6 linked regions of the Oryctolagus cuniculus genome follow. The protein of the gene in region 1 interacts with the protein of each later gene in a pairwise test. Links are inferred from orthologs where the notes say so. Each region holds a gene or a part of one and is shown in the gene's direction. Other genes may lie near its edges.

Region 1 (5,151 bases):
CCCATATGGGAGCACTGTTCCAGGCCCAGATGCTCTGTTTCCAATCCAGCTCCCCGCCAATGTGTGTGAGAAAGCAGCAGCAGCTGACACAAGTGCTTGGGCCCCTGATGTCCACGTGAGAGACCCAGATGGAGCTCCAGGCTCCTGACTTCAGCCTGGCACAGCTCTGGCTGGGAGTGAACCAGGGGTTGGAAGATCTCTTCCTCTTGTCTCTTCCTTTCTCCCTGTCACTCTGCCTTGCACACAAATAAAATACATTTTTTAAAAAAGTGGTTCTAAATGTTGACTATGATGTATGTGTTACAAAATCTAGGAGAGCTCACTCTTACAAATCGACCACTATGAGGTTGACGAGGGGTTTAGCCTGTGCAGTCCACAGTGCTGTCTGCTCTGGGCTGAGCCTGCAGCTATCTGCCATCCTGGGGCTAAAGGGTAAGGCCAGAGGATCAGCTACACCTATTGCTGCCTTGGTCGATTTGTTTAGTGTCAAAGGGAGCAACCGTAATCTGTATCGGGGCTGGGCAGGCCAGGGTACAACCACAAGTGCAGGCTGTCTGGGTATAAGGGATCCTCTTCCAGGCCCAGATGCCCGTGTCTGGCTCTGGCTCCATGTCCTATCATCTATCTTATTTGCATTAATCTCTCAGCCCTCAGTTTTATCCTGAAAAGAGAACAATGATGGTGTGAAGGGCATAGAGCTGTCATGAGTATTAAAAATAATCCAAGGGGCTGGCGCTGTGGTGTAGCAGGTAAAGCCACTGTGTACAATGCCAGCATCCCATATAGGCACTGGTTCAAGTCCCGGCTGCTCCACTTCCAATCCAGCTCTCTGCTATGGCCTGGGAAAGCAGTAGAAGGTGGCCCAAGTCCTTGGGCTCCTTGCACCTGCATGGGAGACCTGTAAGAAGCTCCTGGCTTCAGATCAGGCCAGCTCTGGCCATTGTGGGGAGTGAACCACAGTGTGGCCATTTGGGGGAGTGAACCAGTGGATGGAAGACCTCTCTCGCTCTCTCCAGCTCTGCCTTTTAAATAAATCAATCAATCTTTTAAAAATATAATCCAAAAAGTCTGCGTGCAAGGAACAGAGTTCAGGTCCCAGCTGGCTACAAGTTTATACCCCGCCCTTAAGCCCTGAACCTCACTTTCTCCTCTGTGGCCTGCACAGGTCCGAGTTACTGCTGGCTCCGTGCCTCTTTGCCTCCACGCACCCTAACCCTCATCCTCACCTATTTGGACCGGCTCAGCCTGGAGCTGCCACCCTGTCCATGTGACCTGTGTGGACACTGGCCATGGAGCCAACCTCCTCTCCTCCTATGCTGTGCTGTGGGAGTGCCCAAAGCCACTTTCAAGTCAAAGGCAGGCACACTTTGCTCACCCCACCAAGTTCTCAAGGCTCTGCTGAGAGCAAGGGTTTTCCAAGACTCTAGTTTTGCTTAGAGGAAAACCAAGGCACAAGGTAGCAATGATTCTTGGTTTCCTGCCTCAGCTTCCCTGGGTGAGGCGTCTAGTCCATTCCTGGTGTCCTGGTCGTTACCCCGGGAAGAGGGAGGTGCGCACTACAACTCCCAGAGATCTTCGGGTACAGGGGGTGGCCCCTGCCCGTGGCTAAAAAACTGGACCCGCCAATGGGAGCTCAGAGTGGGGCGGAGGCGGTGCCCTAGCGGGGCGTGGCTGCGGGGAGGCGGCGGGCGAGCGGCTCCGCGGGCAGTCTAGCAGGAGCTCGGGGTGCGGAGAGCCGCGCGCGCGGAGAGGGTCCCGAGCGGGCGCCGCGGGACCTCGCCCTGCCATGGGTAAGCGGCCCTGCGACCCGGTCGGCCCGGGGCTCGGCGGCCCCGCGGGGGAGGACGCCGGCTCTCGTGGCCGCTGGTGTGGCTCTGGAGGGGCGCAGCGGGGCCCGGGGCGGCTGCGGGGCCGAGGGCGCGGGATAGCGAGCGCCGTCCGGGCGCCGGCGTCCCCAAGCCCGTCGCGGCATGTGGGAGGCCGGGGGTGCCTACGCGCGCTCTTCGGGCAAGGGAAAGACTAAAAGTTTTGGCGGCCGGGGGGCTTCCCGGGCGTTGATCTCGAAACTCCTGCCGCCGTCCCAGGGCCGAGATGTACCAACCCCGGAGGGTTCTGCCGCCCCACTTCCTGCTGCGGTTTCAATCTCGAGCGGGTCCGCTCATTTGTTGTGACAGCTGTCAGCAGCGCCGTCGCGGCCCCCGCCCCCGCGCCGGCCGGCGGTTCTCAGAACCGCCCGCGCCGCCGAGAAAGGCGCGCCCTGGGCGGCCGCCGGTTCCTGAAAGTGGCCGCGCGGGTTTTCAAGAACTCGCTCGAGCGCGCTGGGAAGATCAGTGGCGGAGGGGCGTGCTGCCACCGCCCGTGTGGACTCCGGGCTCCCTCCCCAGCGCCTCTGTCTCCTCTTCTCTTCCCTTGGGTCTCCAGAAGGGAAGGGGGTGGCGGCGGGGAGCCAGAGGGGCGGAGAGGGCCGGCGCGCAGGGAAGGAGACGGGCTCCGCTTTGCGCTCAGCCGGAGTCGGGCGCAACCCGGGCGCCTCCGCATGGTCTAGGGCTCGCCGCCCTCCTCCCCGCGGGCGCAGACCCCTGAGAGCTCCTGGCCCACCGTTGCTGGTGCCGGCAAGGAGGGGTCTGCGGGACCCTGGGGGAGTGTAACAGGTGCTTGTTGCTTCCAAGCGAGCTGCCCTGCTGGGAGCCAATCCACGAATGGGTGTGTGTGTGGGGGGGGGGGGTTCCTTGTGACTGCAGGTAGCGCTAGGGCGGAGAAGGAACTGAGGCCGGGAGACCAGCGTGGGTCTGGCAGTGGGAGGCCTCCAAGAGCCCTCCCCTCTCCTCCTTAGCTCCCGTTTGCCCACGCGGTGCCATTTCGGACAGGTCACTTAACACCTTTCTCCATGGATGGGACGGACACCTAGGAAACAAGTCAGGGTGGGAGCTGCTACTGTGGGCAGGGAGGGCAGTGGGGCCACTCTGTCCTGGACTCAGTTCCTTAAGGACACTCCAGAGCTAATTAGAGAGGGCCAGGGAGCCCCCTACTTGGTGCTTCCGCCCCAGGCAACACCCCCATCTGTCTGTACCCTCTCAAGGCTCTTGGCCCCAGCTGCCCCCAAACCCTGTCCCTTTCCCGCTGTGAGCGGAGGTGTTGAGGGGGCTGGGCTGTGGCGGATGCTGTGCCCTCCATCGTCAGGAGTCCCACGTGCAGCTCGTCCATCCGCAGCACTGGCTCCAAACTCTGCCCTGGAGCAAGGTTCGAGTGGCAACCGCCAGGCAGCCGGCTCCCAGCCACGGGGTGGATGGGCCGCTTCCAAGGCTGTCTTTGTTTCGGCTCCAGCTCTAAGAAACCAAAGCCAGCAACCTCGGGCGGGGGGTGGGGGTGGGGCCGTGTCTGCTGGTTGTTATTGAGGCCGCTGTTACCATTATTGTCATAACTGACGCAGTGTTCCCAGTCCGTGACTTTTCATGAAAGGAAGTGGCACTTCCTTCCCAGCACGCCGAGGGGGTAAGTGGGGCGGGCCAGAGAGAGGGGGAGGGCAAGGGGTGTGTCACACTTCTTGCCTGGGCATCAGGGGTACCTTGGGCACAGGCCGAGGTTTCAGGAGCACCTGCCGAGGTGGGCAGCGGGCAGGACAGCAGGCGTCAGTCTCGCCCAGGGGTGTGTGCGTGCAGGCTGGGCTGTGGTTTGTGGCGAAGCCTCTTTTCTCGCTTTCTTCTGCTTAGAACCTTGGCCCATTGAGCGTAGCGCACCCAGCGCACAGATGGGGAGACCGAGATACAAAAGTAGTGACTGGTTCAAGTTGCAGCTGTGTGGTGCTAGGGCCTCACTGAATCCCCCTCCTGCCCCACTCTCACTGGATCCCAGCTGTTGTCTGGCAGGGTGGACAGAGGGCAGGCTCCTAGGCCACCGACTGCCCCATGCCCTGTACCCACCTTCTTACCCCAGCTAAGCTCCTCCTCTGGGAACCCTCCGCCCCGCCCTGCTGCCTTCACCTTCCTCCCAGGCAGGCTGAGCCCTGGCCAGGGGCCGGCCCCCGGCTCTTTCAGCAAGCGGTTTGTTAGAGAAATCTCAGTAGGTATCAGCAGTTCTTCCTTCCTCGAGTCTGTGAAGAGGACACCTCCTATGCAATGGTGGGGACCTCCTGGGCCAGGGCAGCTGGGCCCGAGGCGGGTGGGGGTGGAGGTCTCGCCCTGGCTGCAGCCTGCCGCCTCGCGTCCCACCACTTGGCTCACTTAGCAGTCGACACAGACCAGCTCTTGTTGGCAGAGTAATGGTGACGTGATGCAGATCCACTTGGGGACAGAGGGCAAGTTTCTGCCCTCTGAGCTAGGAACTTGGGGTCTCGGCGATCCCCCCAAAAAAGAAGCCAAAACAACCCTAGATCTTAGGGTGTCTTGGAGCAGAGGGCTCTCGTGCTGAATTGCAGCCCTAACACTGGTGGGCTGTGTGACCTTAGGCAGGTTCCTGAACGTGGGCTCGGGTGCGACATCTGTTAAAGAGGGAATAACAGCCCCTGGGTGGCTGGGAAGATTCAGGAAGGCTACGGGGCAAGGTGCCCGCCCCGAGGCCAGCCAGAGTGCGGGGCGGGTGGCGGGGGTGGGGGCGGGGTTGAGTCTGGGAGCTGTTGGATCAGGTGGCGTGCACAGCAAAGCTGAGAGCGGCCTGAGACCCAGATGACTTTCAGGCACATCCGGGGGTCCCAAACGGACCTCCCCACTGCTGTGGTTTTAGGGTCCAGGGGTTGAGCTGGATTCAGGCACAAGCCGTGAAGCTGAACAGAGATTAAGATTCATAACACGAGGAGGACCTGGGGCCATCCTCGGCCCAGAGCCCGTAGCCACGCCCACTCACTGCCTGGGGGGCGGGGAGACCTCCTCTTCTGGCCCAGACGCCCAGCCCCCTTGGGCCTCTTCCTAGTGGCGAAAGGAGAGAATCGCAGGGGGTCCATGGCGTGAGGTCTGACGGCTGATGCCCAGGGGCTGGCTAAGCCCGTCTGTGAGCTGCACAGGGGCTTGAAGAAGGAGCCTCTGAGGTTGCAGAGGAGACCTGACTCCTCGGGGCAGGTGGCCCTAAAAGACAGCTGCCATCTCTTCTCCAAGTATTTTTCTTTTTTGTAAAAGGTTTATTTATTTCTTTGAAAGGCAGAGAGAGAGAGAGAGAGAG
Region 2 (5,082 bases), on another chromosome or scaffold:
AAACCCTATTTGGTTTCAGGCCCCTTTATGGACATGTGGTAACAGAAGCCTCCTCCAGTCACCTGGGACCCTTCTGCTCAGTGGTAGCATTCAGGACTTGGATATCTTTTTAAATAAGAAAGTGATTCCACCCTAAGCTCACAGAGACCAGACCAGGTGAACGTAGCCGGGGACCTGACTGTGAATCCCGACAGACACCGGATTTGAGGGGCTGATGCTCCAGGATGCATTTGTTCCTCAGATGCGGTGGGGAAGGAAGCTGTTTCGGGGGCAGATGCGACCTGCCAGTAGCGTAGGTGCAGCCATAGAGGCTGGCAGAGGCGATCCTTAACGGTGCTTTCTTCTCCCTGGGAACACCCTAGGCTTGTCTTCTGTTGCTTTCCCTCCTATTCCGAGCTCTTTGCTGTAAGAAGTTAGACGAGAGACACCTCTAGCTTTGTAATCTCCCCACGCCGCCTCCCCATATCCATCTCCCAGTGTCCACCTGCCGTCAGCCACCGGCGTGACACTGCCCTAGTGCCTGTGTTCTGGACCGTCTCTGAGGTCTCTCCCATCCGAGGAGACGGTGACATCGTTCTGTCCTCCATGCCTTCGGCAGCGCCCCTCACCGCTGAGGCACACACTCGCCCCTCTGCCGCCGCACCTCCGCCCAGGCACGGAGGTCTCGTGCTGCTCACGGCCAAAGGAACTGCCCATACTTAACTGCCTCAGTGACCTGATCTCTCATGTGCCAGATGCCTAGATGAAGAAGGAACACAACACATCCCGAAGCCTCGGCTGTTTAGCACCCTCTCCACGGGGGCCCGCTTTTCTGGACAGTATTTATTACTAGACTGGCAAGCCTGACTCCTTTAGGTTTACAGGAAGTGTGCATATTTTTATAAAACAAGTGTCCTCCCCCCCCCATTTTGCTGTGTTACTGTTTGCCTCTAACGATTTGCAGCTGTTTCTGTTTCACCTTTTACTCATTTGTCTCCAAGTTGAAGGCCTTGTAGGAGGGGACAGCCTTGACAGTCTGTAATTATTGTACAAATATTTTAATAGCATATAAAGAAGTATATTCCTTTTATTTTGAAACAGATGATCAGACACTGCCTTTTGTGTGTTTGCTGCCTGTGGCAACCTTTTTTAAAAAAGACTGTTACATATGAAAATGGTGTACATATATATAAATATATAAATATTACCTCTTTGGCTGTACAGTTGTGATAGAGCAGATGGAAGATTTTATTTTTTGTGTGCTTTTTATATAAAAATTAATACACTAAAGAGAATCTTGCTGATGTGATTGTAATGTACCTATGTAACTTATTTACTTTTGAATGTTCTTCTGTATCTTTAAACCTTTCATTAAATAAGGTTTTAAAAATTCAGAGTTGGATGCTGTGTTCTTTTGGGGGATTTTCATCCTCTGAGATTGACCGAAGCGGCCCTTGCTCTGGCTTGAAGAGTACCCGAGGCAGGGATTACAGAATACTGGTGCGTTGCCAGCTGTAGGTAGGTAGGTGGCCGGCCTTTTGACTAAGTGTTAGATAAGAGGAAGTGGCCGGCGCCGCGGCTCACTAGGCTAATCCTCCGCCTAGCGGCGCCGGCACACCGGGTTCTAGTCCCGGTTGGGGCGCCGGATTCTGTCCCGGTTGCCCCTCTTCCAGGCCAGCTCTCTGCTGTGGCCAGGGAGTGCAGTGGAGGATGGCCCAGGTGCTTGGGCCCTGCACCCCATGGGAGACCAGGAAAAGCACCTGGCTCCTGGCTCCTGCCATCGGATCAGCGCGGTGCGCCGGCCGCAGCGCACCGGCCATTGGAGGGTGAACCAACGGCAAAGGAAGACCTTTCTCTCTGTCTCTCTCTCTCACTGTCCACTCTGCCTGTCAAAAAAAAAAAAAAATTAGAAAAAAAAAAAAGATAAGAGGAAGTGTCCAGTCTGTGTGTCACACAAGTGGGATACTTGGGAGCCTTCGTTTCCTCTGGATGAGATGCCGTCCACGCACCTGGCTTGATGCGCCAGTTGCATGAGCAAGTCAGCCACCACGGGTGATACCCACTAGTATCTGAAATCCGCTCCGGATTAGAAGACAGAAGCCCTCGATGCTTATTGGTATTTTTTTTTTCATTGTAAAAGTCTGGAACATCTGATGGCTGCGGTACCATGGCAACCGCTCCCCCCACCCCGCGCCGCTGCGCACGGAGTCTTCGGGAGCGCGTCGTCCGGGACACCGTTGCCATGGTCACGCGCGCGCGCCTCGCCGGCGACCTGGATCCGGTGCGGCGGCCGCGGCTCGCGGGCCGGCCCCGCCCTGCACTGCGGCGGGAACGCGCCGGCTGCCGAGCTGCGCCACAGCCGCCGCAGCCCGTCGCGCCACGCGAGCCCGGCCGGCCCCACCAGCCTTCGCCTCCCGCCTCGCTTCTGCATCCTTCCTGCGTCTTTGCTCCCCTCAGCCCTCGGTTTTCAGCGGTCCTCGCTGTCCGGAGGGGTCCCCGCGCCCGAGAAGAAGCCGCTGCTCGCCGGCTGGCCCGGCTGCCGCCGCGGTGACCTCGGACAGCCTCTCCCGCCGGGCCCGGCACGCCGAGCGCTCCTTCGGGCTGCCGCTCCTCGCCCCGCTGAGGGCCGGGCTCGGACCGCCAGCGCCGGGGCGACTCCGGGAGCGGCGGCCACGCCCCGCGGCCACACCCCGGCGCTCCCGGGCCCCGCGGCTCCCGCAGGCTGCACTCTGGGGCCGCAGACCCCGACCCGGGACGCGAGATGGCGACAGCCGCGTGACTGACTGAGCCCCTGCGAGGCCGCGCCGGGGAGCCGCAGACGGACAGCGGGGCTTGGGTGTCGCTTGTTACCAGCGACCGCGGGGACCTGCCGCCCGCGCGCCTGCTTGCGGGGAGTGTCTGGTGTTGGTTGGAGTTCGGGGAGCCGCAGTCTGATCCGTATCTGTCGAATCGGTACCTTTGATAGTTGGGAACATGGCGATGACGCTGTTGGAAGATTGGTGCAGGGGCATGGACGTGAACTCCCAGAGAGCGCTGCTGGTTTGGGGGATCCTAGTGAACTGTGATGAGGCTGAAATCGAAGAGACCCTCCAGGCTGCGATGCCCCAGGTGCCGTATCGAGTGCTTGGGAGAATGTTCTGGAGGGAAGAGAACGCGAAAGCAGCCTTATTAGAGCTCACTGGCGCTGTGGATTACGCCGCGATCCCCAGGGAGATGCCTGGCAAAGGAGGGGTGTGGAAAGTGCTTTTTAAGCCCCCCACGTCTGACGCTGAATTTTTAGAAAGGCTGCACCTCTTCCTAGCTCGGGAGGGGTGGACCGTGCAAGATGTTGCCCGCGTCCTTGGGTTTCAGAACCCGGCCCCGGCCCCGGGCCCCGAAATGCCAGCCGAGATGCTCAGCTATATTTTGGATAATGTTATTCAGCCTCTCGTGGAGTCCATATGGTACAAGAAGCTGACGCTGTTCTCGGGGAGGGACATCCCGGGGCCTGGGGAGGAGAGCTTTGACTGCTGGCTGGAGCACGCTAATGAAGTCATAGAGGAGTGGCAGGTGTCCGACACAGAAAAGAGGCGGCGGCTGATGGAGAGCCTCCGGGGCCCCGCCGCCGACGTCATCCGCATCCTCAAGACCAGCAACCCCGCGATCACCACCGGCGAGTGCCTGAAGGCGCTGGAGCAGGTGTTCGGGAGCGTGGAGAGCTCTAGGGATGCGCAGGTCAGGTTTCTGAACACGTACCAGAACCCGGGAGAGAAGTTGTCGGCTTACGTCATTCGTCTGGAGCCGCTGCTGCAGAAGGTGGTGGAGAAGGGGGCCATTGATAAAGAGAACGTGAACCAGGCCCGCCTGGAGCAGGTCATCGCCGGGGCCAACCACAGCGGGACCCTCCGAAGGCAGCTCTGGCTGACCGGCGCTGCGGAAGGGCCGGCCCCGAACCTCTTCCAGCTGCTGGTGCAGATCCGTGAGGAGGAGGCCAAGGAGGAGGAGGAGGAGGCTGAGGCCGCGCTCCTGCAGTTGGGCCTGGAGGGGCACTTCTGAGCCCCAGGAAAGAGGGCTGCCGTGCAGACCCGGCCCGCAGCTGCTGTCCTGGTCCCGAGTAGTAAAGGCCTAGCTGCCTGCTGTTTTCGTTGTGTTTTTCTTGGAGGGAGGGGGTTCTGGCCTGCCCGTTCCTGTAACTCCGCCGACACTGCACAGAGCATGGGGAGCTGCTACAATGCCGATGGGCTTGCTGGCTGCGGCGCCCGCTGTCGACATGCCGGCACCCTCGGCTGTGACAAGTGTGAACCCGTGACTCTTCCCATGGAGATAAATGTGAAGTCGCACGTGCAGATGTTTAGCCCAGGGCCTGGCTCGCAGGAACCGTGAACCATCACATTGTTATCAGCGTCGAGGCTAGTGTGTGTTGACTGTAAATCATTCCATGTTTATATTAATGGAAAGAAACGTGCATTGTTTAGGTAATACTGCTCAGCCTCACAGTGCAAATCTCTTAGTGCTCATCTTTAAAGAGCCGGATCTGTGGAACAGAGTGTTCTGAGACTCCAGCTGGGGCGCTGGAAAAGGACTGCAGTTCCGGAGCTGTGCTGATCAGAGGTCGCGCAGAGAAACCACCTGGGGAGATGGCTAGGACCCGGTGACAGTGACCCACCCATCCCCCCACTCCCCTTCCAGTCCTTGTCAAAATAGTTCTTGTTCACCCAGATTTTAAATGTTCTACATTTGAACTTATCAAATAGATGTATAAGAATAAAAATATTTTAAAAACTATCGCTGTCTAGTTTTTCCAACATATTTAACATTTTTCAGTGTAATTAAGCTGTTTTCTTTTTTCTTAGGAAAACTTTCCCCCATGTCATAAAAAAGAACCTTTTACTTAAAAAAAAAATAGTGAGATGGAGCGCTCCCACAATGTGTGTGTATTAATGTATCCAATATTTATGTGTTCTTCAAGGCTAATGTTAGGCTATAAACAGACATATAAGTACAATATTAACTTACTAAAAATTTTTAGAAAATCCTAAAAAAGGCTCAGGAGATAATCTAGAAATAGTTGTTTTTCCCTTCCCTTTTTATATTTTTTAGCTAAAAATTTTTGCTTCACTGAAG
Region 3 (4,531 bases), on another chromosome or scaffold:
CTGGACCGTTTTCTGCATTGGCTCCTGCCCAGCTTCTCTATGTAGTAAACGCAGATACAACAGGCAGCAAAGGGCCTCATTGTGTTGTGTTGCTAGGGAAGGGAAGTTTGTTAGTGGAGTCTAATTTATTAACATGCAGCCTGTGTGTGTGTGTGTGAGTGGGGGAGGAAGGAAGGAAGGAAGGAAGGAAGGAAGGAAGGAAGGAAGGAAGGAAGGAAGGAAGGAAGGAAGGGAAGGAAGGGAAGGAAGGGAAGGAAGGGAAGGAAGGGAAGGAAGGGAAGGAAGGGAAGGAAGGGAAGGAAGGGAAGGAAGGGAAGGAAGGGAAGGAAGGGAAGGAAGGGAAGGAAGGGAAGGAAGGGAAGGAAGGGAAGGAAGGAAATCATACAGAGCTCTCACTGGTTTCCCTCCTGTCTGCCTCTCTGTCTCTCCCTGTTCCCACAGGTCAGCGTGGAAGTCTTGGTCGAGTATCCTTTTTTTGTGTTTGGACAGGGCTGGTCGTCCTGCTGCCCGGAGAGAACCAGCCAGCTCTTTGATCTGCCGTGTTCCAGACTCTCAGTAGGTGACGTCTGCATCTCGCTCACCCTCAAGAACGCCAAGAATGGCTCTGTTAAAAAGGGCCAGCCCGCAGATGCTGCCAGTGTCCTGCTGAAGCGCTCAAAGACCGACAGCCTGGCGGGCAGCAGACACAGGTACGCCGAGCAGGAGAACGGGCTCAATCAGGGAAGCGCTCAGATGCTGTCTGAGAACGGTGAACTGAAGTTTCCAGAGAAGATGGGCTTGCCCGCAGCACCCTTCTTCACGAAAGTAGAACCCAGCAGGCCCGCGGCCGCGAGGAAGAGGAGGTGGTCGGCGCCGGAGACCCGCAAACTGGAGAAGTCGGAGGACGAGCCGCCTTTGACTCTTCCCAAGCCTTCTCTGATTCCTCAGGAGGTCAAGATTTGCATCGAGGGCCGGTCTAACGTGGGCAAGTAGAGGCAGAGCGGACGAGGCGCCGCGGCCGTCCCGTGCCCTTCCTTCGTATCCAGATTACTGTACTGTAGGCTAAATAACACAGTATTTACATGTTATCCTCTTACTTTAGATTTCTGTTCTAACCTTGTCATTACAGTTACAGCAGGTGTGTCGCAGGAGACTGGTGCATACGCTTTGTCCGCGAGTGTCTGTCGGGGAGTGGCGGGTGGGCCACTGGCAGGCAGGGCAGCAGCCGGCAGGTGCCCGGGCCCGCCGGGGTCCCGAGAGAGGCCAATGGGAAGGGACCTGCAGGGGTAGAGGGGCGTGTGCCTGTGAGGGTGCGTGGGGGCCACAGCGGGCGGGTGAGAGGGTCTCTCGGCCCCTGCCTCCCTCTGTGCTGCCCTCTTGCCTTCAGCGGGGGCTGGGGGTAGGGGGCGGTACAGAGCAGCATCCTCCTGGGGTTCCCACATTCAAAGTCAACATCAGGACCCCAGCTTCAGGGCAGGCGGCAGATGGAAAGGAAAGCTCTCCGTTTCAAAGAACGTTTTTCTCTCCAACACATTTTACAATAAAAGCAACTTTTAATCATATAGAGATATATTTCCCCCTATGGGGCCTTGACTGCACTGATACATATTTCTTTTTTTTAAAGAGCAACTGCCACACGTGGGATTTCATTTCTGCTTTACTAGTGCAGTGATGTCGCCAAGGGTGTCGCTGTGGGCAGGGAGGCCCTGCCCGTATCACCCTTCCCACCCCCAACACAGCTTGCACCATGATGGGGGGCTGGGGCTGGGGTGAGGGAACACCCTCGCTGGTTCTGTGCAGTGCTAGGAGAACCAGTCCGATCCTAGCCTTGTGGCTCCAGAAAGGTAGATGCAGACCACCCAGCAGTGAGAGCACCAGGAGCTCTCGCGCTGAGTTGGCAAAGTCTTTGTGTCTTTGCAGTCCTACTTAAGAGTCCATGGCAATGGACAGCACGGGTGCCACTGCTTTCAGATTCCAGTGTGACACGAGGAATTCGATTCTGAAAATGAGCATAGATTCCTGTTTTCTAAGCACTTACAATGCCTGTCACCCTTTATCATCAAGCATCTTGATCTGTGTCATTCAACGAGTACTGTATCTCACTTTCAACTTTCGGGAAAGAAAATCAACCAACACACAAAAACTAAGTTGCTTTCTTTTTTGTTTGTCAACACTGTTAACTGCATTTCAGCTCTGCAGAGTTGCTCCCGGCAAGATTTGGAAAGTCTCCGTGTGGTTGAAAGGGACGAACGTGAATGACGAGCTAGTGTATGACAGAAAATGACCACCAAGTACTACCTGACAGGAGGCACTTGTCACTTTGATGTTGGAGAAGGAGTGAAAGGCATATATGCAGAGTTGGCAGAGAAACAGAGAGAAGGGATGGAGAGAAGCCTCATTTTTGTCCAGTGTTTTTCCTTTTAAGATGAACTTTTAAAGAACCTTGCGATTTGCACATCTTGAGTTTATAATTGGTGTGATATTCCTGCAGTTTTTACCTAATAACATTGTGGGAAAGGTTTGGGGGACTGAACGAGCATAAATAAATGTAGCAGAATTTCTTTCTAAACTGCCTAAGCTCTAGGCTGTTTTATAAGGTTATGTTCCTTTCAGAATTCACTTTGGTCTTTCTGCCGCCTCTGTCACAAAAAGCCAGGTCTCAGCAGGACAACCTGGAGAACTGTCTTCAGACTCACTGAGAGAGTTTTCCATCAACATTTGTATTTGTGAGCAAGTTTTTTTTTTTTTTTAAAGACTTACTTTACTATTGTTGTTATTAATGTTTTCAGATGACTTTTTTTTTTCTATTTGGAATCCAATCAAGATTTCGTGTTTGGTACAAACCCAGAAAGGGTATTTCATAGGTTACATCTTTCATTCCCAGATATCTGATATCATTTGTGGGTTTTGAGTGCATTTTAAAATGCTTAAAAAAAAGGTTTTATAAGCAGGGAGAAATTTTTGACTGTTGTTTGGATGGCTGCAGCTAACCTGAGAAAGTACTTACTCGATGTTTCTGTGGCCATTGAAAATAGGACTTCTGCCATTTTATGAATTTACAAAAGAAAATATGCTACCATCAACCCACATGTTGGCTCCCTAGGATTCCTTTACATTTGGTTCTCACAGGGACTAATGATTCTTATAAACCATTTTCTGGGGTGTACCAAAAACATCTGAGTAGGTTAAGAATAGCTAGACTCTTTCCTTGAATTTTCTAGCTGAGCTGGTGGGGTGGGACCTGGTGGGCCCTCCCACCCTCGCGGTCACACTGCTTCTGTAGTGTTGTATTTTTTTAAACATTTCCGTTTAGAGAACTTGCTTAATCTTCCATATATTCTGCTCAGGGCACTTGCAATGAATAGGTTTTGTTTTTCCCTTTTGTTTTTTTTAACCTTTGATGGTAAGAGGACTCTGGGGCTGCCACACAGACTTTGCTCTCAGTGGTACCACTATCTACAACTCACGTGGACTCAGAGAGACACGATACCCCTCTTGCTTACTTTCCGTACTGAACTGACCGGATCCACCACCCCAACACTAAAACGGGAAAACACACATGGTTTGGAGCAATAGGAACATCCTCATGCTTTTCATGGTTCTGTTTCAGGTATAGGAATTGTAAAACAATTGGTTCTTTCTAAACATCTGTCCCATTTCACACACTCTTGCTTTTTTTTTTTTTTTTTTTTTTTTTAGAATGTGCAATACTTTCCGTGCCAATAGAATCTGACCAGTGTGCTATAGTGAAAGCTCATTCCTTTTAGGCTTATTCCTTGTTCACGTGATCTTTCCAATCTCTTCCCCCCCCCCCGCCCTCCCCCTCCCCCCCGGTTCTGGCCAGGGAAGGGCAGCCTCCTCCCGCCTTTCCCACTGCGAGTGCTGAGTGTTGGGGCAGGAGCCTGCAGGAGCCCCCAGTGTCTGTCACCCCACTGCAGGATGGGGCCAGCTGAGGAGACCCCAGGGAGAACCACACGGAATAGTGATGATGGAGCATGGACAGGAAGGAGGCAGGTGGATTTCTGGGGCGCACTCTGGAGCAACGTAGGCTGGAGGCGACCCATTTTCCATGGTCTCGAGGCCTGTGTCCTCTGAGCGTGGGGCAACAAGTGTGACCTGTTGTGTGCATGCGTGCTGAGTGTGCTGGCCCGTGACCGTGGAGGGGACCACCTGCCAACCATGGTCTCTGTCCCTGTAGCAGCTTTCTCTTGAAAGAGGAAGAATGCACAGAGGGCAGAGAAGCCCCCTCTCGTCCCCCGACGCTGGCGTGCCCCTGGCTGTGGCCAGCGCTCTGTGTAGCAAACCTGTGGATGACAGGGGTTGAAATTCTGTAGTGCCCCTCCACTGCCAAGGATCAGCCGCATGCCGTGCACCATGTCCACTTGGTAGGCGTGCCTCAGAGCCGGCTCGCATGCTCGCTTTCTTTCCCGTTTTCCATTTTTAAACTACTAACAGCAGGCCTTCTGTGTTTACAACTGAACACAATCACCAAGAAATTAGTCAGGGCGAAAAGAAAAAAAAAAAAACTAATAATACTATTCATAAGAAACCA
Region 4 (5,202 bases), on another chromosome or scaffold:
GCTGGGGTTGATAGATGCTCATTATCTCCAGTGCTTTACTCTTTATTTTTGGAGTTCTCATGATTATGATGGCAAATACTTCAGTTCTGAGAAAGTTCCAAGTGTGCCTATCTCTCACATAAGAAGCTGTTGTTCTGGGAGTGATTTGTGCCTTATGTATATGTTCTTTTCTCTCTATTTTGAATAGGGCATACATAGTGTCTGCTTTGTAGATTTTTCAGCAGCTTCTGTAGAAACAGGCTGCAGCCATGTCTATAGGACACACAGCAAGAAAGTGAGAGCCCTGGCTGGGTCTGAAGTTAGCAATGTGTAAACCATTCGTTGGCTGGGCTATTTGGATTCCAAACAGTGTAAGGGATCATCATATTTCTCTTCATTGGGCAACTTAGTCCTCAACAGTGCTGGTGCTGACACTTAGTTCTCCTTTAAGCTGTGAGCAGCCTCCCTTCTCATTTCTACTCAGAGAAAATTGTTCTCCAGAGGTTTGCTCTCGATGGCTTAACTTGCTTGATTTCACAGTGACCTTTGAAAACAAAAGAAATTAAAACTCGATTGGTTACCTAATTACTTTTGTCTTCATTATTAGATACTAAATAAATTAAACATGCCACAGATTTTATTTCAAGCCCCACACCATGCTAGGAAGAAATCACTGTTGATTATGGAACAATCTGCTATGTCTTTGGACTTATCCCATAATGAGAGAGAGGGAGGCTGGAGTGCAGTAGCGTAGTGGGGGAGGGCGGCTTTAAGAGGAAGCCCAGATAAGGACGTGGGGAAGGAGGTCAGAATAACTACTTCAGTGTATTATTTCAGAAAGTGAAATTTTATTTCCTCTCCATAGTTTTGCCATCGCAGTAATGTGAAGTTCTGGTAGGTCCATTATGACCAAACTTCCTTCCAAACGTGTGAAATGATAATTTTACAGAGGACTCGGTATCACTGAGATGCAGAAGGCACTCTTTCCTAATCAAAACAAACTTATTTGCATATGTGCCTCTCCCGACCAGACCAGTGACGTTCATACTTGAAAATCCGTCTTTCCCTATGAATGTGATGGACATGGTGAACTATTTTGATAAGTTGTTAGAAACATGGCCACACATACTGTATGGAAACACACACATGTGCGTATGAACACCTCTTCATGTGGCGCACATGAGGAGACAGTGGCTGGCATTACTGAGAGGTGAGTGTTTCTCAGTGCAGTGTGATAGTTAGGCATCACACACCACACTTGCCTTTCCTTTACGTGGGAGAACGAACCTGAAGGAGTTTGCTTCTGCTTCTTCATCCTTTCTTTTAAAATACACAAAACTTTCAAGCAAATACCTTTGCACTTTATGGTAAACGAAAGCATCTGATTATGATTAAATTAACCTGTGCTTAGGTCCTTGCTAGGTTCTTTAAAAAAAGAAAATAATTATGGCTATCAACGTATCATTAGATAGTCAAGCCTTTTCTCTCCTCTTCTTCATCTTCCTTTCTTCCTTCTCACCCCCTCACCCCCTGCCCTGGCTTTTTCTTTTCTTTTCTTTTTTTTTTTTTTACCCTGCCCTTATGCACACACACATGGCTGCATAGACACACATGACACAGAAACCTCTCCAACTTCCCTGACAGGTTCATTCAGGGATAGAACAATAGAAATGGAATTAATCCCTCTCTCAGTAGCAATTGTTGTGATAGAAAATGGAAAAGATACTTCCTTGTTATAGGGTTTCTATAGACAGTTTTAAAAAGAAATACAGTGTTGAGACTAGATGAGCATTTCATACAGTGTTCTTTCACTGTGTATCCAGCTATCTATAACCTGAAATTTATACATGTGGCAACCATATGTCTCAGAAAAAAAAAAATCCAGAAGACTTCTGATTTTGAAGACTTTATTTCTGTAAGCCAGAAGTGCACAATTACTTGTTAGTCAATTTGTTCAATCACTTCTCTGAACTTCTGGGTCAGATAAAATGGTACTTATACTAAATAAAAGGCATGAGTTTTTGTTTGGTTACTTTACATTATTAATACAAGGCTTATGCAGGGCATACTACAAGAGATAATTTTTGCTAATCACCAGCTTCTGCTCCCCTCCAGTGCTTTCTGTCCCAGGAATGGGGTATGTGGCTACTCTGTGCTCAGCTTCCAGACACACAAGGGCCGAGCATCTGGGGAGACTCAGGAGGTGACCACTTTCACGCTGACTCAGAGACCAGCCGTATGACTCCAGTCTGGCGCTGTCACGCCTGGTTATGGAAAGGAAGAACAATGCCTCCCTTGAGAAAGGGGAGAAGTCCAGTGCAGTCACAATTTTGATGTAAAATTTAAATCATCCCTCCACATCCTGTGGACTTAGAGCTGTCAGAAAGGCAAAAACCCATGCTTAAATGGAAAAAGCTTTTTATTTCCTCAAAAAGTATACTGTCTTTAACTATAAATAACAAGTTCTAGAATCATAGGGCTTCATGCTAGATTATTTCCAGCAATTTATAAATAATCAGAACAAAAGGACTTTGACATTTTTAACCTGTAAATGGCTGAAGGTTAAACATTTTTTTCTGTTTGTGATACATGACAAGTATGTAATAATACAGGAGTTAAATAACACACAACAAATTATTATGTATGGACTTGTTTTTTTTTTCTCTCTAACTGAGACATTTGGTCATTTTATGTACAACTTAGCAGAAATTTCTCTCCAGCATTTAAAGGTCTTATCCATCTTTATTATGGTTTCTTCATAATTTCATGTTGAAATTTAGTATATTTGGTGATTCTAGAGATTCTGTGATCAAATGATTAATAATTCAAACACAGGAGCTTCTGATTTTGAGGTAAGGACATAAAATTGTCAGTGATTCTAATGAAGGTGAAGAAGGAGGGCTCTTTCTTAAATAAAAGTGTTTATTGCCAGATTCTTAAAAATCACGAGAAAACTTTGATAATATTTTCAAAACCATCTAGAATTGTGTTAAACTATCTAGCTCTTTGATTTTTGAGAGTGATTTTGTATTTAGGAATCATAAAACTCTCTTAAATATGTGTTCATTTAGTCTTGTCAGATTTATTACAATGAATTCTAACATCTTTCCTAAGTATAAGAACGTTATGGAATGATTACAATACAGTTTAATGAAACTTAATGTTCTTTCTGCCTTCCTGTGTATCAGGAATACTATTGTTTGAGGCACTTAATAAATGTGGATTAATTTAAAAATAATATAAAGGCTAAAGATAAGAGGTTTTAGCTGGCACACTTACTTGCTAAGATAAATTTTATTTCCATAGCCCAGCTATTATTATGTCATTCATAATAAAGCAAATTTTATTTAGAAAAAATTTGGGGGAGTTTTCAGCTTTAAGACATAGCTTTATATTTTGGAGTAAAATACATTAAGCTTAGAATTAGGGAAACAGTAAGAGAATAAAACAGTGAAGATGAACTTTTTAAATATTTACTTTTAAAATTTTATTTATTATTGGAGGCAGGGAGAGAGATGGATAGACAAAGATAGAACCCTCATTCATTGATTAACTCCCCAAATGCCTACAGCAGGTGAGATTGGGCACAGCCAAGGCCAGGAGCCATGAACTCAATCCAGCTCTATCATTTAGGTGCAGGGACCCAACTACTTGAGGCATCACCTGTTGCTTGCCAAGGGACACATTAGCAGGAAGGTATAGTCAGGAGCCAGGGACAGGTGTAAAACCCAGGCACTCCAAACAGGCATCTTAACTACTAGGTCAAATGTTTGCCCCAGAAATAGGTTTTGTGTTCTGAGTCTCTGTAGAAGGGATTTTACTGTCATTAATTTGTACTTTAAAAACGCCTTTCTATTTTGTTTAGAAACCACAACAAGACATCTTCAGTTGAATTTCAATGCTTACTTTAGACATGTTAATTCAAGCATTTCTGAAATATCCTGTGCTTAACTAATAAAGAAGCACATATTTCATTCAGATATGGATGGAAATTAAGTTCTATTTCTGAGTCTTATCTATCTTTAACTTCAGTTTTTTTTTTCTTTTAGTTTTACCACTTGCTGGGAGAAAATTACTGCTCCTTTTTTCTTTTCTTTTTTTTTTTTGCTCTTATCCTCCATGCATACCTGACATTGTTGGGATAATAGAGGCCAGGTAACAGATTCAGGCAGAGAAGAGCACAGAAGTGGTGAGGACGTTCCAGGGACACCATTCTCATCAGATAAGAGGAATGGTGCCATGATATTCTTGGTTACAATGCAGACACCATCTCAGACGTGAAACATATGACAGTGGACAAGAAGGGAACAGCTTTGAGAAAGAGCCCTTTAAAGGCTGTTGGTAACTACAGCATATTTGGTTAATATTTTTAAATACAGCTTGAACTTTTATAATACACAATGCAATATTTTGTGCAAATTTGTATTATATTTCAGAACAGAATATTAAATCTGTTCACAAGTAGCTGTAGCTCAAAAATCAATTTTTTTTTTAGAAGTACATGTTAGGGTGCATTTTGTTGATCTCTGATGACATACACAGTAAGGATTAAGAGGAAGACTGGTCTTTTTTTATTACGTGTTGTCTGGTTTTGAGATTTCTATGAAATCTGTGTTTCTGTTTCCATCTGTATTTTATGCCAGGACCTGATGAACTTGGCGATGCCTCGGAATAAGAGTACAAGGAGTGAGGTCTTTGTGAGTGGGAAGTGACGGGTGGAGAAGTATGGAGACTGGCACGTTCAACATCAGAAAAGAGGATTAAGAGGAAGGAGAAAATGTTGTCGACGTTTGATAGACTGCATGTTTACCACAAATAAACTTTCTATTTAAGGGAGTTCTGGATACTCTTTATGACAGACTTGGTTATGAAATTTACATGGAACATTCACAGAGTAAACCCACAGCTAACTCTTAATTTAGTGGGAAAATGAAAATGTTCATAACCCATTAGAGGTAAAAGGAAAGAATGAACCATAAATACAAATAATAATCATCTAAAATTACAAATAAATGAAACTGACTTTTCTTTAATAAGGCATAATGCTAAGTTTGTGTAATTTCTGTTCGTACATCCAGTAGAAGTGCTGATCATTTTGCCCCTTTGACTTTAAACCTTTTTGTTCAAGCTGTCTTGATTCTCTTCTCCATATTAGATAGCTAATATTCTGTGAATAACCCTTCAGTATACAGGACAGTTGAGTTCAGAATGTTGATTAGCCTT
Region 5 (5,308 bases), on another chromosome or scaffold:
ATGGGAAAAGGAAGGAAGTGGTCCCAGTGGGTGCACACTGGGACCCAGAGGAAGGGCAAAACTTGGGAAGTCAGGGAAATAAAAGCCCAACCCCAGGGGGCCACCAAGGAGCCAGCAGGCTAGAGCTGCAGCCAGAGGACGTGTGGGTCAAGCCTCCTCCTCTGCTCCTGGCACCCACCACACCAAGCAGGCAGTGGCCAGTGGCCAAGCACTGTTCTGCACGCTGGCAAGGGTGAGGACAGGGCAGTCCCTGGGCCCACCAGGTATCCTCCCAGCCCTCCTCCAGCAGTGCCCCTCACACCAGGGGAGGAGTCACCAAGCGATGGAGGTCAGGAGGCAGGCAAACATGTGGCAGTGAACCATGTGCGGAGAACAGTCCCAAACCTCCAAACCTCCGTGGCTTCCTGCCACAGCTCTGCTTGAGGAAGCCTTGGAGGAAGTTGGAAAATGACCAAAACACAAGAAGTAGATACCTCTTCCCCTAGGCTCACCTCGGAATTACCCTTAGCTCTAAGTCAGAAGATTAAAAGAAATCTATAACGATGACCAATTCTAGCACTTAAAATGTGCTAGATACGCTCTCACCTCCTCTTCGTCCTCATGGCAGGAGAATCTGTCACTCTATTTCCTAAGACCCCAGGCCGAGAGAAGGAAAGGTTTCTTCCACAGCCACACACACACACACACACACACACACCCTCATCCTTAGGGTCAGCACTCTCTGGAAGCCTGCAGTATGGGCAGGCAGAGGATGACCAACAGGTGTGAGCATTTCAAAGAAAAGAGGGAGTCTGTCTCTAAATTTGCATAGGGAGAAGTGAGAGCCTACTGGAAGTTCAGGTGATTGGGTGTTGGAGGGGGGAGCCCAGCAGGGAGGAGGCGGGAGGAGCGGGAAGGGGCAGGAAATGGCGAAAGCCTGAGGAATGTTTCCAGCAGGGAAGGCAGGACAAGTGGAGCCAGGAGGAATGCCCAGACAAGAATTTTGGCTGGGGGTGCGGGGGATGGAGCCAAACAAGTAGAGGCTGAGGAGTCCCTTAAAAGAAAAAAGAAAAAAAAACAGGATACAAATCCCTAACCCCATTGCAAACCACCGTTTTCTGGTAGTACAAAGTTCTCTCTCCTGTCACGTCCTCAAGCCACACATCAGCAAATCCACGGCCCTGTCTAGCCACAGCCTCAACCTACAGCTGTTTCTGCGGTGGGCTGGGAAACTATGAGCAAGCCTCTGTCCCGTCCTCGGGCCAAACCCCAAGCCCAGGCCCACCCTTGGGGGAGGATAAGGCTGCCTCTAATCTCACTCCTCAGAGCTCCCACCTAGTGGAGCGGGAAAGCCCTCGGGAAAACTGAGCCCAAGGCCCCAAGAGAGAAAGGACAGGAAACGTAAGCAGGTGGAGCTTCTGAGACTGAGGAAACTGGGGTGATGACTTGGGTGCCACCCGGATCGAGTTCCTTAGGGGGCGTGGCCCTCTAGGATGCGCAGCAGACTTCCAGGAGATGAGGCTCCGGGACAATCGGACGTGGATTGCGGAAGGGGCGGGGCTTCTATGGGCGGGGCCTATCGAGGGGCGTGGCCTCAGTGAATTCGAATCGTTCTTTCAAGAGCAGAGCTTTGCCCTTTTGGGAGATAGGATCTTTGACAGACAGGAGTTAGCGGAGAATCGTCGCGAGGAGGAGGCGGAGTTTGGAAGAACTGGGAGGACTAACGAAGCGTTTCTTGTGGAGCTGGAAGCATGTCTGGGGGTGGGACTTCCAGGAAAACTGGGCTACAGGGAGGGGTCGGAGACAATAAATTTAAAAACTGGGGTTCAGGGAGCCCCCTGAAGTTGGGAGGTGGGACTTCCGGAGAGGGGGTCTCAGGGGCGGGACTTAGCAGTGAAGACCGGAAGTGGGGTCCCGGGAGAGGGGTTCCGGGGTGGAGGAGTGGGTTGCCTAAAGAGAAAAAAAAAAGTGAAAACTCACCAGGGCCTCATGGGGTCTCCGCACCGCGCCGCGGGCCGATTTGGTTCCGGATCACGCCACTGCCTGCTTAGGTCGCCGCTCCAACTTTCTCCCCGGCCCGGCCTCCCTGGAGAAACTTTATTACACTCACTTCCGGCCTCACTAACCCCTGACCCTCTACCTCACGGTCCCTCCTTCGCCCCGCCTAGTTTCCTGAATCAGCCAATGGTAGCGCGAAGGCGCTCACAGGCGCCGCGATAACCAATTAGAGGCCTAGCTCTGACCCAAGTTTGTGCTTGAGAAACGTAAGAAGCGCACTCCAATAAAGACTGGAGGAGAAGCAAATCCTAAGCCAATAGGAGGCTCGAAGGTGGAGCTGTCCCGCCTTGAGCCCAAAGGACCAATGGGAAGTGCGGGCGGTGTGTTTGAAAGCGAGGCCAAAGAGGGTGGGAGCGCGTGCTGCTGGGAGTTGTTTGGAGGTTGGCAGCGCGGGGCTGACGGCCCGCAGGCAGAGCGATCATGTCGCACAAACAGATTTACTATTCGGACAAGTACGACGACGAGGAGTTCGAGTACCGGTTAGTGCCGGCGGGGGGCCGTAGCGAGGTCGGGAGAAGAGAAGGCACGAGGAGTTGGTAGCGAGGATGGAGGCGACAGAGGGGGCGCATGCGCAGGAGACCAGCGGGGGTGGGTGTGAGGTTGGTGGAACGCGGAAGGCGCGTGCGCGGGGGGTGGCCGGCGCCCTGGAACAGTGGAGTCTGGAGTCAGCCCCCGGTTGAGGGGAGGCGTGATGAGTCCGACCACCTTCACCCTGTGGGTTTCTGGGTCTTGGTCTCAGCTTCACTGGGAGCTGCTGTGGAGTCTACTGGGTGAAGGTGTCAGCAGCGGAGCTGGCCTTTTCCTCGCGTTCTCACTGCGAGCGGTGAGAATGCTGAGGAAGTTAATGCTGCTTATTCTTGGGGAAGGAAAGAGGCGTGGTTGTCTGGCTTGTTTTAGGACGGGGGCGTCGAGGACCGGGCCGGGGATTAAAGTGCCGAGAAGCACTGAGAACCAGTGGAGTGCGTGCAGGTTTCACTTGTTTACTGGATGTGAGCATCTCACGGTCTTTAAAATTCTGAGCAAGAATCTGGCAGACGGCTGGAAGAAGGTGGTGGGCCTGCGGAGCCCGGGCCGTGAGCGGGGCGTGGTGGGGACACACAGCCTGGCAAGGAAGGGGCGGGGGCTCCCTGGAAGAGCCCTCAGGTGACACTGTAGCAACGAAGGGAAAAGTACAGCTTGACCAGAATTGTCCCGGAGGTACTGGATGGCCAGATGCCCAAGATGGGGGAGCGTTTGGGTTTGATAAGTTCTGAGCCCATAGGAATATTAGATTGGAAAAGGAGGAAAGACAGAATTCTACAAGTGTTGTCGTCACACTAATCTGTATCAATTGCAATATTTAAGACGGCTTGCGGCTTTTATCTTGCCTCCTGGAATGGAGGGGGAAATGGAAGCTTGGTTTTCTCGTGCCTTCCCTCAGCCCGGTTCGGGCTGTGTTTACAGACACATAACCAGCTTCAGGCTGGGATCATCCTAGATCCTTCTCAGACTCCATTCCTTTTATTTCCCTCAGCTGTTTTCCTCTACATCCGAACTAAGCGAACTCCAACTGTATGCTTATGACGTGTTTGCAGGGCTGGGAGACATCACTAGTTTCGTCCCTGGGAAGATGTAACTGTTAGTTTGGCAGTGGCGTTTTGGTTTAAGAGAGGGGTTTGTTTTGTTTTGTTTTAATGTACTGAGGCCAGATTTTGTGCCAGGGGCTGGTTAGAATGTCAGCTATTTTCAGACATTTAGACTAGAATTATCTCTTTAGGAAAAAAACCTCTGATAATTAGTGCTGAGGGAGCATTTAGGACATTTTTGTTGCGTGTGATGAAGTGTATCTGAATGAGTCCAGTTCCAGTCAGAGGAGTCATTTCTTTGCCATGGAGACTCATCCTTGGTCAGAGAATCAAGTCTCATGGCATGCCCCTTCAGAGTTAGGAAAATGAGATTCAAGATTTTTGAAAGAAGACTAACAGTTCACCTCTGTGATGTGTCTTCCACACCCCACTTTATCGATGTTAACATTTCATGCTCTTTGTAGGGCCTGTTACATTGTGGGTAATTACTAGAAAACCCTAAGATCCACAAAGGCACAGAAAATGAACATCAACAGTGCCTGGCACTCAGTCACTGGAAGTACTCATTCGCACTCTTTAATATACCCTTGCGAGGAGCCTTGTTGTGGCATAACGGGTTAAGGCGCTACCTACAATGCCATACGGGCACCAGTTCAAGTTCTGGCTGCTCCACTTCCAATCCAGCTCCCTGCTAGTGTGTCTGGGAAAGCAGCAGAGGATGGTCCAAGTCCCTGGGCCCCCGTACCTACATGGGAGACCCAGATGAATTTCCTGGCTTCTGGCTTCAGCCTGGCCCAGCTCTGCCTGTTTTGGCCTTTTGGGGAATAAACCAGCAGACAGAAAATATCTAACTTTGCATTTCAAATAAATAAAATTTAAAACTATATATATAGTCTTGTGAGAATTTTTATAACTTGGCCTATATTTTCAGCTGCCTCTACCCCACAATAAGATTGTATAAACTCAAAGGCCGACACTGTGGCGTAGCGGGTAAAGCCACTGCCTGCAGTGCCAGCATCCCATATGAGTGCCGGTTTGAGGCCTGGCTGCTCCACTTCTGATCCAGCTCTCTGCTGTGACTTGGGAAAGCAGTGGAAGATGACCCAAGTCCTTGGGCTCCTGCATCCATGTGGGAGACCTGGAAGAAGCTCCTGGCTTCAAGATTGGCACAGCTCTGGCCATTGCGGCCATCTGGAGAGTGAACCAGTGGATAGAAGAACTCTCTCTCTCTCTCTCTGCCTCTGCCTCTCTGTAACTCTGCCTTTCAAATAAATAAATCTTTAAAAAAAAAAAAAAAAAAAAGATTGTATAAACTCCAGAAGCCAGTTTCTCTTTTTCCTTTCTTGGCTTTATATACAGGCACTTGTCCAACAGGCTGTATCCAGTACTAACACAAATGCCCCATCTCCCTATGTTTCTGTTGCAGGCATGTTATGTTGCCCAAGGACATAGCCAAGCTGGTCCCTAAAACCCATTTGATGTCTGAATCTGAATGGAGGAACCTTGGCGTTCAGCAGAGTCAGGGATGGGTCCATTATATGATCCACGAACCAGGTCAGTGCACTGGCTAAATGTAGCCAGATAGGACTACTATACTGAAGGACTGAAGGAATACCATCACAGAACCCAAGAAAACAGGAGATGGGGGGGGGGGGGGCCCGTTTCCTGCTCCTTTCCCGTTTAAACAAAGCTGTAGTGACTGAAAA
Region 6 (5,192 bases), about 31 Mb from region 1:
TCTCCGAAGTGAGGCCTGGCTGGAGACATCAAGGACCGGCTTAATCGTCACTTTCCTTGGGGTTTGTCAGGCTCAGCAAAAGGGGGTTTGGTTCTGTCACAGGCAAGAGTGGAGAAGGGCACAGGGCCCAAGACCACCGCTCAACTATTGCTCAGGAAGATATCGCCCCCTCGTGGTTCCTCCTCTAACTGAGGGAGGAGCAGGCCGCGGACAGGGCTGCCAGCCCAGGCCAACACATCAGAAGGCAGACACAGCTTCCGGACTCCCCGTAGCCTCGCCCCTCGGAACATCTTCAGCTGCGGCTTCAACAGCCTCCTCCTAGGTTATTCTCATCGATGTGCAATGCACCTTCATTCCCAGAGAGATCGGTGACACCGTGGCAGCAGTTAGAGAAAAACTTTTTTTTTTCCCGGATAGAAAACTTTTCTTTCAAAATCTGCAGACCTCAAAGAACAAACCCGGTACATACCATGGTATTTCAAAAAAGCTCATGGAAAGATGGAATGAAAATATACATTTACCAGGCTGCAAAAAATTGGGGGGGGGGTTGGAAATTCATGCATAGTTTTTTTTCATAGTAAGCATTTTCCATGAACTTTGTGAAACTCTCTTGTAAATCCAAGAAGATTATTGAATGGCCCTTCCTGATCCCCTTAAAGCAAAAGATGTTTGTGCTCTGCCAGGATGTTGTTGCTTTGGAGTTGTTCCTGGTATCTGGTCTCCACAACTCCATTTTCAGCTCCCTACAGGCAGGGTCTTATCTTCTGCTGTCACCCCCACCCCCACCAGCACTCAAAGCTGTATAAGCTCTGGAGGGGGGAGGGGAGGCAAGATAAAGGGCAGGCCAGTCAATAAATAGAAACTGTGATAGGTGCTGTGCAGGAAGGAATTCCTGGGAGCGGGAGGCGGCGCTGAACGAACTAGTTGCGAGTTGTAAGGTTATACATTTGTAGCAGTCAAGTTTAGACGCATAACTGGACCCATAAGACAAAAGGCTCCAGGCCCAGAAGAAATGGAAATTTTCTTCATAATGATGTTAGCATCCATGTTGTAAGCCTACAGCGGGCAGGAGGGTGTGAGGCGTGCCCCCCACACTCCGGGGTAACTGCACCCATTTCACGGACGAGAAAATAAAGTAGGCAGTCCCCCAGAGGCGCGGCGGGAACACTAGGCGGGCGCCTCGCTTTGCCCGAATGCCTTGACCCTCCAGGGCTGCCTGCCAAGACTCGTTTAGAAAAGTGCCCACTGTGTGCCGGGGGGCTCATTTAAACAGCCGCGGGATTAGCCGGATAAACAGGGCTCGGTCTCCTTTGCCAGGAAGGCGCTCCCCAAAGAGAGGCCAGGTGAACAATCAACTCCAGAGCGGGCCGGCGGGGGGCTCGCGGGGGGCTCACGGGGGCCCGGCTGTCCCCGGCGTTCCTCCGTCCCGGGCCTCCAAGCCCTCGCCCCGAGGGCGCGACCCGCGTCTCAGCCCCTACCGGCGAGGAGCCCGGGGGCGCGCAGCTCCCTCGTGGAAAGCAGGCAAACAAAAGTGGCACATCCCAGCCCCCGGTCCGCGCACGGCCAGGGCCCGGCTCCCCGAAGCCCCCTCTCCGAGCCGGGGCGCGGGGGACGCCGCGTGCGCCCGGGGACCCGGCTCTCCAGCCTCCCTTGCTCAGCCCGCCCGGCCCTCGCTCTGCCGTCGAGCCGGGGCCGGGGTCGGCCGCTTCCGCTCCGCGCCGCCGCCCCTCCCCGGCGCGCGCCATCCGGCCCGGGCCGCGCCGACTCCGCGGCCCCTCCTCCCGCCGGGGGGCTTCGGCGGCCCCCGTCCCGTCCCTGCGGGCTGACGGCGGCAGCCCACGTCCAGGGAGGGCGGAGGGAGGCGGAGAGGGAGGGGAGAGCGGAGAGGGGAGGGAGGGAGGCGAGAGAAAGGAGCTGCAGCGGACTCGGACTTCCCAAAGCCGGCCAGGAGCGCGCAGCCAGCGGCTCTCCGCGTCCCAGCGTCCCAGCCGCGGCCGGCGCCTCCTCCTCCTCCTCCTCCTCTCCGGCCGCCCCATCCCTTCCTTCCAGCCTCGCTCTGCTCCGGCAGCGGCAGCCCCCAGCCCCAGCTCTCCGCGCTCACTCCTGGGACGCGCGCCCTCGCCCCATCCTCTCTTCCTCCCTCCCTCCCTTCCTTCCTTCCCTCGCGCCCGCCCTCCCGCCCCAGGTCTCCCTCCCGGTCGCGATTGTCTCCGCGCCCCGCTCGGCCGGCCCGCGCCCGCGCCCTGCCCGCACTTCCTCCCCGAGTCGCCCGCCGCCGTCGTCTGCGCGCCGCGGGAGCCCAGCCCGAGCCTTCGCAGCCCCGCGGCGCCCGCCCGAGGCAGCCCCGGCGCCCCGGGGAAGGCAGAAGCGGGCGAGCGCGCCCTCGCCCAGCCCCGCGCCCCAGCCCTGCCCGGCGACGAAGGACCGGGAAGATGAACAACGGCGGCAAAGCCGAGAAGGAGAACACCCCGAGCGAGGCCAACCTCCAGGAGGAAGAGGTAGCGGTGGCCCGGGCGGGCGGCGGGGCGCGTCCGGGGGCCGGCGCGCCGTGGCCCCGGCTGGGTGCGTCTCCAGGGCGCGGGTTCTGGGGGTGTCCGCGCACCCTGCGCTGCGTGACTTGCAGAACTTTGCGGAGACACCCTCCAAGTAGAATGCTCGGCTTTGTGTGCCCGGGATTTTAAAAGCGGAATCGAGAGCTGACTCCTGGGTGACCTCAGGTTACTGGGACCCGAGGGTCAGGGCTTCTCTGAGCGCCAGGGGCTGGAAGCCGGCGGGAGGGAGTGCGTGTGTCTGTGTGCGTGCGTGCGGGCGGCTTTGGGAAGGAGTTGGGGAGAAGCTCTGTTAGGGGCTGGCGCTGGCGCCGGTGTGAAAAGTTCTTGGCCAAGTCTCTCCGGAGCCGGGGCGTGTGTGGATTCATCGATAACTCGCCGCCCGCGAGGCGGGAACCCCCGAACCCCGGGCTGTGGTAGACTTCGGGGGCGGGGTGTGGATGTGGGGAGCAGAATGAGAGGGGCCGAAAGCGTCGCTCCCGGAATGCTGGCCAGGACGCTGCGGTAGGACTTTGATTTGGGTTGTGCGTCCGGGATCCTGGAGGGGAGACAGCTTGCAGTTGGGGGGCACTTGCCTTTGGCAAACGCGAAGCCGAGGAAGTGTGGGGAAGGGGTGTGCGGGACGCACGTTCCAGAACTCCGTAGTTAGGGGATGATTGTGGGGTTTCTCAAATGACTGTTCCCGCAGCCCCAGAAACAGTGCCTCCGCTCACTTGCTGAGTTCCCTCGAAGTTGGGGCTCTCAGCCTTCCGCCAAGAGCTCGCGCGCGTGTGTGCGGGAGCCAGAGAGCGTGCGGTGCGCGCGGGCGGCGAGGCGGTGCCGCAGCGCCGGGCCCGAGAGTTGGAAGTGGACCTCGTGCAGGAATCCCTCAGCCCTTTTAAGTCGTCCACGTGTAAAATTGGAGCTATTTAATTAAATAGGAGAGACAGGCGAAGACCATGCAAAACAATGCAAAAGGTAGCGCCGTGGAGCAGCGTTGTCACCTGGGTGAGTTAGTAAGCTGAGAATTGGCTCCTGGAGGAAATCGCCTGTTTTATGACAAAGCTTTATTTTGAAAAGCTGTTTGCCCCTTCTTGTTTGGTGCCTGCAAATGTAGGACTACTCGTGACAGTGCTTTTAAAAAGACACCAAGGCTGGAATTCCAAATTCCACTTTCTGGCTTCTCTACTGTTTAGTTTATTTTCCCTGTCCTTTAAAAACTGAAAAATGATGGCAAATTTGCATTTTCAGGAATTGGCATGTGCAGCTAATTCACTTAACCCGTCAAGAGAATCATTGCTTCAGAAACCTTTCTGTTCCACTTAGAGTGGCAATCTGGCCGCTCCTAAGTGTGAGAGTGTATCTTGTGAAACAATCTTTCTCTGTTAACCAGTTGAGGAAACTTGTAGTTAAGAGAAAGTTCATCAGACTGCAGATTTTTTTCTTTTTCTTTTGGTAGTAGCAAAATGGGCTCAGGTGTCTCGAAAACCATATCCAATTAACTTAAAATCGAATGGACGACAGAAGTCAGATTTTTCTCTTGACCCATGCCAGGTGAACTGCCGCCAGGATTTGCCTGGATGGGCTCGGTTATCGCGAGGTTGTGGGTCCCTGTGATCAGAGGCCATCCAAGTCGCAGGCATTGCTTCTAGTTTCCCCAGCAGCGTTCCTTTCCGGGTGGGAAAGGCGTGGGCTCCTCCAGGTGTAGGTCTTTTTAGCAAAACGCTTGTTACTTAAAAAATAAGACAGGAGGTAGGAAGGTTTCAGAACCCAGGTTGTATAAGAAGCGAGAGTATACACTGCGGATACACCCTGACCAGAGAGGGTTTATGGTTGACATTCTGGTTTTGAAACACTAACCTCCTCTCTCTTTCTCCCCCTCCCCTTTTTTTTCCTAACCCTGAAAGCCACAAGTTAAATAAATATGGCATTTGGTGGGTGCCATTCAGTGAGCTTAGCATTGCACAAAATCCCACTGCACTGGCCGCTTTGCCTGCCCACCCAGAGGAGCAGCGGTTTGTTTTCAGAAAGCTTTGGCAATGGGCCGCAGGAGACAGGGCATACACGTGTAACACGGACACGCACACACCAGGACAGGAGGGCTGTTTCTGGTGACTTGTGAACGGCAGTGGACAGTGAGTTCCAATCACCGTGAGAAAACGGTCGATGTTGTGGTTGTCAGGGTGCTTCGGCTGTTTGCCACCTTGTGCAGTCCAAGTTGTGTCATTTTCTATGGAAATGAGTTCCTTTTATCATCCAGTGTATTTTAACCCCGGTTAAGAGTTTCTGATGCCGACCCTGAAAAAGATGCCTAAATCCCCGTTTAGCTCCAGTTGGATAGAATGAGCAGTCCAGCATTTAGGAGAAATTTCTGCAGTTTTTGGTGGTGGGAGTTTTTGAGAACTTGAGCAGAATACACTTTGGATATCATGTAAAACTTTGAGGAAAAATAATCTTCAGTTCCGGCTAGCCGGCCATGTAAGAGCAAGCCAGGATACCTGGCCTTCCAACGTGTTACACATGTGTGTTCCTGTGCAGTTGTCCCTGTATGGAATCAGTCATCACAATCTAACCGGGACCTGGGATTTCAAAAGCTTATTTTTGTACATTTATTAGATCATTTCTCAAGTCATTTTGGAGTTTGTCTCTAATTCTACAGATTTT

Evidence for each region.
Region 2: the proteins of ARID5A (region 1) and PNMA1 interact in binary tests that used the Homo sapiens proteins (3 or more experiments, as listed by UniProt). The two-hybrid records come from large-scale screens. The link is inferred for Oryctolagus cuniculus from reciprocal best matches to the Homo sapiens genes ARID5A and PNMA1.
Region 3: the proteins of ARID5A (region 1) and ATXN1 interact in binary tests that used the Homo sapiens proteins (3 or more experiments, as listed by UniProt). The link is inferred for Oryctolagus cuniculus from reciprocal best matches to the Homo sapiens genes ARID5A and ATXN1.
Region 4: the proteins of ARID5A (region 1) and SOX5 interact in a two-hybrid assay, tested with the Homo sapiens proteins (2 studies listed by BioGRID and IntAct). The two-hybrid records come from large-scale screens. The link is inferred for Oryctolagus cuniculus from reciprocal best matches to the Homo sapiens genes ARID5A and SOX5.
Region 5: the proteins of ARID5A (region 1) and CKS1B interact in binary tests that used the Homo sapiens proteins (3 or more experiments, as listed by UniProt). The two-hybrid records come from large-scale screens. The link is inferred for Oryctolagus cuniculus from reciprocal best matches to the Homo sapiens genes ARID5A and CKS1B.
Region 6: the proteins of ARID5A (region 1) and RBPMS interact in binary tests that used the Homo sapiens proteins (3 or more experiments, as listed by UniProt). The two-hybrid records come from large-scale screens. The link is inferred for Oryctolagus cuniculus from reciprocal best matches to the Homo sapiens genes ARID5A and RBPMS.

The regions. Positions count from the first base shown.
Region 1 is NC_091433.1:111,160,151-111,165,301, reverse strand, and holds the start of ARID5A (AT-rich interactive domain-containing protein 5A), read left to right. Parts: upstream 1-1,650; 5' UTR 1,651-1,786; coding exon 1,787-1,790; intron 1,791-5,151. UniProt on the Homo sapiens protein: DNA-binding protein that may regulate transcription and act as a repressor by binding to AT-rich stretches in the promoter region of target genes.
Region 2 is NC_091451.1:19,888,404-19,893,485, reverse strand, and holds PNMA1 (paraneoplastic antigen Ma1), read left to right. Parts: upstream 1-1,901; 5' UTR 1,902-2,952; coding exon 2,953-4,014; 3' UTR 4,015-4,743; downstream 4,744-5,082.
Region 3 is NC_091436.1:143,602,572-143,607,102, reverse strand, and holds part of ATXN1 (ataxin-1), read left to right. Parts: intron 1-441; coding exon 442-972; 3' UTR 973-4,531. UniProt on the Homo sapiens protein: Chromatin-binding factor that repress Notch signaling in the absence of Notch intracellular domain by acting as a CBF1 corepressor. Binds to the HEY promoter and might assist, along with NCOR2, RBPJ-mediated repression. Binds RNA in vitro.
Region 4 is NC_091440.1:121,152,295-121,157,496, reverse strand, and holds the start of SOX5 (transcription factor SOX-5), read left to right. Parts: upstream 1-1,931; 5' UTR 1,932-2,111; coding exon 2,112-2,182; intron 2,183-2,688; exon of another isoform or gene 2,689-2,831; intron 2,832-5,202.
Region 5 is NC_091438.1:43,534,560-43,539,867, reverse strand, and holds the start of CKS1B (cyclin-dependent kinases regulatory subunit 1), read left to right. Parts: upstream 1-2,192; 5' UTR 2,193-2,457; coding exon 2,458-2,516; intron 2,517-5,028; coding exon 5,029-5,156; intron 5,157-5,308.
Region 6 is NC_091433.1:80,425,024-80,430,215, forward strand, and holds the start of RBPMS (RNA-binding protein with multiple splicing), read left to right. Parts: upstream 1-2,150; 5' UTR 2,151-2,432; coding exon 2,433-2,498; intron 2,499-5,192. Other genes in the region: collagen alpha-2(I) chain-like, read right to left, coding at 1,266-2,036.